2 linked regions of the Cricetulus griseus genome follow. The protein of the gene in region 2 interacts with the protein of the main gene of each other region in a biochemical or structural test. Links are inferred from orthologs where the notes say so. Each region holds a gene or a part of one and is shown on either strand. Other genes may lie near its edges.

Region 1 (3,803 bases), on a different chromosome or scaffold from region 2:
AGAATTAGATGTGTATATCATAACCGACAAGCACCATTAACCATTGAGCTGTTTCTCCAGCCCCAGAATCTGCCTTCTTGTTCCTAGTATCTTCTAGAAATGCTTTGAGTGCAGAGTGGACCTCTGAGTTCCAGGCCAGCCTGGTCTATAGAGCGAGTTCCATTTCAAGCCAGGGCTACCTAGTGAGGCCATCTTAAAAAGGAAATGTACTGCTCAGTTGTGAAGAAATACACTAGTTCTTTCTTTGAGTCACAGTGAAGCTTGCAAAGGGGGTTGCCTTTGAGCACTGTGGACTTTGAGGGGTGGGGACTGGTCTAAGAAAATGCCACTTGGGGCAGACTGAGCCTGTCTGGTTTGCTCTCACTGTTGTGTGGGTCACAGCATTCCCAGTCAGAAAAGCCGTCAGCATTCTTACTATGTCAGACCTCAGGAAGTTTGCTTCTGCTGTGCCCCAAGAAGCTGTTCTAACACGGATCCCTCTTCCAGGTGTGCGAAGTCTATAAGCTTCACAGGGAGACATTCTATCTGGCGCAAGACTTCTTTGATCGTTACATGGCATCACAACAAAATATACTGAAAACACTTTTACAGCTCATTGGGATTTCAGCTTTATTTATTGCTTCTAAACTTGAGGTAAACTCACTATCCTTATTTATGTAACAAGCCTTATTTCTTCAGTTCTGCCAACTATTGGTCATATGTATCATGAATCCTAACTCAGAGGCTTCTAAAGTTAAGGTACATGTTGGGAGGACAGACATGAACCAGCCAAGAATAAAGACAAGGAGAAAGTGCATAGACCATTTAGATTAGATTGATATTTGAACTTGGAACTGAAAAGATTGAAATTTGGGCATAGTGGTTCCCACCTGAACTCCTAGCACTTGGACAGCTGAGGTAGAACAATGGGGACTTTGAGGCCCGCATGGCTAGATGGTTATATAGAGTGAGCAACAACTTTAAGGTTCTGTTTATTCATGAGTCCATTTATTTGTGGAGCACCCCGCCCCCCATAATGTGTTTGGGGTTAATGAAGTGAACCTGTGTGAAGCCTTTCAGTAATCCTCTTTCCATGTCAGTCAGCATGCTAGAATCATTTTGGATGCACGTCCTAAACTCAAACTGCCAGGAACGGATTCTCTCTAATAGCATCTTCCTTCTGTTCCCTTTTAGGAAATCTACCCTCCAAAGTTGCACCAGTTTGCTTACGTTACAGATGGCGCTTGTTCCGGAGATGAAATTCTCCAGATGGAATTAATGATGATGAAGGCAGGTTACACATTAATACCTCTGTCTCTCTCTGTGTGTGTGTAAGAGAGAGACTTCAACTAAGTGTGTACACCTATCTTTCTCATTCAGGGTGTGGGTGCACCCAGTGGGTCTTCTCCAGCTAGGCATGTGGTGGCGGGGACTAAGGCTGCATCTTTTGGACTTTTCACAACTATCATCCATTCATCTCTTTCCCCTTAGGCCCTTAAGTGGCGTTTAAGCCCAATGACCATTGTGTCCTGGCTGAACGTGTATGTCCAAGTGGCTTATGTCAATGACACAAGCGAGGTGCTACTGCCTCAGTACCCACAGCAGGTCTTTGTGCAGATTGCTGAGGTAGGTGGACTTTGTGCTGAGAGAGAGAGAGAGAGAGGGAGAGAGAGGGGGGGTGGGGGGAGAGAGAGGGAGGGAGAGGGGGGAGAGAGAGAGAAAGAGGGGGGGAGGGAGGGAGGGAGGGAGGGAGGGAGGGAGAGAGTGTTGGGGGGAGGCGTGTACACCCCAGCTCACCAGGGGCTTCTAGAAGCTCTGTGTGGCATCTGTCTAAGCATCCCTGTCTTCCCTTAGCTTTTAGATCTGTGTGTCCTGGATGTCGGCTGCTTAGAATTTCCTTATGGTGTCCTTGCTGCTTCTGCCTTGTATCATTTCTCCTCCATGGAACTGATGCAGAAGGTTTCAGGTATGTCGCTTTTTCCTGCGAGTTCACAGACGAGGTGTCTACACACACAGACCCGCTGTGAGCTGCAGACTGAGCCTCTAACTAACCTCTTTACTGGCAGGGTATCAGTGGTGCGACATAGAGAAATGTGTCAAGTGGATGGTTCCGTTCGCCATGGCCTTCCGGGAGGTGGGAAGCTCCAAGCTCAAGCACTTCCGGGGAGTTCCCATGGAAAACGCCCACAACATCCAGACCCACGCCAACAGCTTGGATTTGCTGGTCAGTGACGCCCTCGCTCCCGTCAGACAAGTGCTTAACCCATCTTGCCCGAACAACCTCGCTTTTCTTAAGGCAGGCCCCAGGGAGCCCAGGAAAAGCTAGTTCTCCTAGTCGCATATGAATGTTTCTGGTCCTCTGTCTGGGTACCTGCAGACCCTAGACTTGAGGTGGTAGGGACAAGGTCTTACTAGATAGTCCAGGCTGACCTAAAACTCAAGTCTTTGGTCTCTGCTCCCAAGTGGTAGGATTTACAAGTCTGCCACCATGCCTAACTTTAGATTAGTTTTTACTTTTGTTATTTCTCCCTCTGGCCTCCATAGTAAAAGTGCCCATCAAGTGAAACAACGCTTTATATTGACAACTATTCCTTTTATTCCATGTAGGACAAAGCCCAGGCAAAGAAAGCCATATTGTCAGAACAGAACAGGATCTCTCCTCCTCCCAGTGGGGTCCTGACACCCCCACCCAGCAGTAAGAAGCAGAACAGTGAGGAGGAGACAGAATGAGCAAACCTGCCAAAGACAGTGTTGTGGAAGCGGCTGCCTGGAGCTCCTTTGCTGCCTAGGAGGTTGGGAGCCCCTGCTGATGCTCTGCGGAAAGGCGTATCTCTTCCAGAGCAGCGGGCGTCTTCAAAATGGCCTCGGACAGAAGTGCTTGTATGGAATGCTAGTTGTTTTAACAATAGGGTTGAGGACACCAGCCACCTCCAGAACGCCGCTGAGTGCTCCAGAAGCTGCTAAGGAGGGTGCTACTTGACCCACTGGACTCTTCACACATGACAAAAGCTTGAAATTAAGGAGGCCACGGTTGCTGCTGGCCTCTGCCCGGGTGTTTGGGGTTGCTGTTGTGTTGGGTGGGACAGGTGGTTGTGAGCAAGCATGGGATGCCGAGCCCACAGCCTGGGCCAGGCCGACCGTTTCCACTGTCAGCTGACAGCATGTCCTGCCTTTCATGAACTCTTGGTTTGTAAGTGCTGCTATGTCTATCCATTTTTAATAAAGAGAATACTATCTTTGAAGCAGCTGTCTTTACTGGAACAAGCTAGAAGTTGCCTTTCAGAATGGCTCTACCAGTTCTCTTGGCTTCTTGTTTTTCTCTCTCTCCAAGACAGGGTTCTCTGTGACTTTGGAGACTGTCCTGGCACTCTCTTATAGACCAGGCTGGTCTCGAACTCAGAGATCCTCCTGCCTCCCGAGTGCTGGGATTAAAGGGGTGCTCCACCAATGCCTGGCTGCCCTCATAATTTTTGAGACAGTCTTAAAGTGCAACCCATGCTGGCCTAGAGCTGGCTGTGTAGCCTAGACTTCTGCAACTCTTCTCCCACAATACCCTGGGCTAGGTGCTATTCACACCAGAGTCGTCAGCAGGGGTAGGCTCTGCTAGTGAAGCCATTCCATACCCCAGGAATTTCATTAATGTAATCTCTCCATGGTGGCCTACATTTGTAATCCTAGCACTGAGGATACTGAGGCAGGAGAGAGATCAAAACAGCCTGGGCTACATAAAAAGACCCTATGTTACACAAAGAAGCAGTTATGTTTTGTGGTTTGTTTGATACCTGGTCTCACTGTGTAACCCTTGCTGGCCCCAACCTTCCTGC
Region 2 (2,758 bases):
GATGTAGTCCTTTTTACATCTTTCTGCACCACAGCCTGTGTTACCTTTCACCATAGTAAGCTTCACCTTCTCTCCTAGAGCAAACTTCACCACCCCCTTTCTCTTTCCATTGCTTTATTTTTCTCAAATTCTTTGAAACTCTAATTGCCAGGCCCTTAATAATATTCTAAAATATTGCCCATCTTGGCATCTCAATATACAAAAAATACCCATATTGGCATTGACTACTTAAGAGCATGCCTGATTGTCCTGCTTGCTAAATGTTCTGAAATTCTCACTGGTCATCTCAACCAACTACATTTGAGGACTGGAGGGTCACTCTAATAATTTCCTGAAAGTTTTAAAATTTTCCTCACGCAAATTATCTTTAGTTAGTATTTTCTGTCTTCAGATACCATTAGCAACTAACAAAAGCAAGTCAGATCCATATCTAATTTATTTTGACTTAGAAGTAAATTGGTTTGCCTCTGAAGGTAGTGACTTCTTTTTAAATATTTGAGTTACTTTTTAAAGCTTTATGTGTATGAGGTTTTGTCTCCATGTGTATATGTGCACCACTTACTTGCCTGATAATCCGGAGAATTGAGAAGAAAGCCTGAGATACTCCGGGGCTGGAGTTACAGACAGTTGCAAGCTGCCCTGTGAGTGCTGGGAAACTAAAGCAGACCTGCAAGAGCAGTAGCTGCTCTTACCTGCCAATCCATTGCCACAACTCTTAAAGTCAATGATTTCTAAACTCCCGACTTCAAAGAAGAAAGTTTCACAATGGAAAAATTTTCAATCTCCATTAAAGATAGCAATGTGCAGAAAGTACGAGAAGCCGGACCTATTTTAAAGAGAAATATCTAAAATGTTTAATTTCAGTCTGCCGCCAGCCAAACCTGTGTTATTTGCTACAGTCAGAAACAAAGTTTGTGACCAAACCAAAAAAGATATTTCTTTTACTCTTGCAAAAATTAAAGGCGGGACTTGTGGACAAATCCTTTTAAGTAATGTTCCTTGCATACTTCGTATACGTTTATGGAAATATGCAAGTAACTATCAGGATGTCCTCTCCTTTGAGGATTCTTCTGAAACACTGGAGGGATTTAAAAAAAAATATCTTTAGTCTGTTGATTGTGATTCAAAAAAAGCACACATAGGTATGTGAACCCGAAGGCTGTTCTCCTTTGGAACACCAAACTGCCAATTTCTGCGCCCTTATTTTCAGTAGTAAGTAAAAATTTGGGGACTAACAAACACAATTTGGGATTCTAACCTTGTTTCGCGCGGCCAAAGGGCGGTGGATTGGACGCTCCACCAATCACAGCGCAGCTCTGGCTTATATAAGCCCGGAGTCGGAGCTAAGGAGCACAGCAAAATTTGCTCTTTGAGTTAGTTTTCCTTTGCTTTTATTGTAGCTTACAATCTCGCCATGTCTGAAACTGCTCCTGCCGAAACTGCTGCTCCGGCTCCTGTGGAGAAGTCTCCCGCAAAGAAGAAGGCGACCAAAAAGGCTGGCGCAACGAAGCGCAAGGCCACCGGTCCCCCGGTGTCCGAGCTCATCACCAAGGCTGTGTCTGCCTCTAAGGAGCGCAGTGGCGTGTCCCTGGCCGCGCTCAAGAAGGCTTTGGCTGCAGGTGGCTACGACGTGGAGAAGAACAACAGCCGCATCAAGCTGGGGCTCAAGAGCCTGGTGAGCAAGGGCACCCTGGTGCAGACCAAGGGCACCGGCGCCTCCGGCTCCTTCAAGCTCAACAAGAAGGCGGCTTCCGGCGAGGCCAAGCCCAAAGCCAAGAAGGCAGGCGCCGCCAAGGCTAAGAAGCCTTCAGGTTCCACCCCGAAAAAGCCTAAGAAGGCTGCGGGGGCCAAGAAGACCGTGAAGAAAACTCCAAAGAAAGCAAAGAAGCCTGCGGCCGCTGGAGTGAAGAAAGTGGCCAAGAGCCCTAAGAAGGCCAAGGCAGCTAAGCCTAAGAAGGCAGCCAAGAGCCCGGCAAAGCCCAAGGCTGTGAAGCCAAAGGCAGCCAAGCCTAAAGTTGCCAAGCCTAAGACAGCTAAGCCTAAAGCTGCTAAGGCGAAGAAGGCTGTTTCTAAAAAGAAGTAGGTTTGCTTCTAATAGCAACCAAGCCCCAAAGGCTCTTTTCAGAGCCACCCAGAGAGCTCGGTGAATGTAGCTGTACACTGACCTAACCCTCTAAGTCCCGCCAACTACCTGAACCATCTGGGTGCCACAGTGGAATTCAGGTAACACTAGCACGGAGTACTCCTGCCCTCACGTACTGCTGAGTAGTTGCCATGTCCACGCGGGCACCCGCCTTTTTCCTCACTGTGCGCGCTCCCCCCCCCCCCCCCGGCTAATCCTCCCACTCCCATCCCGGACTAGTAGGTCTTGTCCTTTGCGCGCGTCTATCTTTACCCTCTGTTCTGTGAACACATTGTTCGTCAGGAATGTAGCTCTCCAGAGTTCACTTAGACTGCAGTTAGCTTTTCATAACTGAAAAATCAACGCGCGGCGCGAAAAGAGGCCGAATTGATTGGCTGTACATAATCGTATTTCCTAACCCAGTTGCATCATGGTTTTGTACCAACCTTGCCTCGATTGGACAGCCAGTCGATGACGTTTGGAGAGTCACTCCACTCAATTGCCGCAACTCATTTACAGCTAGTGTAGAGACTACCCTGCACCCTTCACTTTATCAAGTTGCCTTTTCTTCCTAGTATTAGGGCCCTCGAAGTCAGCTCCTTACCGGAAGGAGTTTTTAAGAAGGCGGTGACGCAG

What was found.
Region 1: of the proteins of H1-5 (region 2) and Ccne1, one has a biochemical effect on the other in vitro, tested with the Homo sapiens proteins (4 studies listed by BioGRID). The link is inferred for Cricetulus griseus from reciprocal best matches to the Homo sapiens genes H1-5 and CCNE1.

The regions. Positions count from the first base shown.
Region 1 is NC_048602.1:241,852-245,654, forward strand, and holds the end of Ccne1 (G1/S-specific cyclin-E1), read left to right. Parts: intron 1-486; coding exon 487-633; intron 634-1,173; coding exon 1,174-1,269; intron 1,270-1,470; coding exon 1,471-1,605; intron 1,606-1,833; coding exon 1,834-1,945; intron 1,946-2,045; coding exon 2,046-2,203; intron 2,204-2,586; coding exon 2,587-2,709; 3' UTR 2,710-3,221; downstream 3,222-3,803. UniProt on the Homo sapiens protein: Essential for the control of the cell cycle at the G1/S (start) transition.
Region 2 is NC_048596.1:244,135,922-244,138,679, reverse strand, and holds H1-5 (histone H1.5), read left to right. Parts: upstream 1-1,342; 5' UTR 1,343-1,414; coding exon 1,415-2,083; 3' UTR 2,084-2,144; downstream 2,145-2,758. UniProt on the Homo sapiens protein: Histone H1 protein binds to linker DNA between nucleosomes forming the macromolecular structure known as the chromatin fiber. Histones H1 are necessary for the condensation of nucleosome chains into higher-order structured fibers.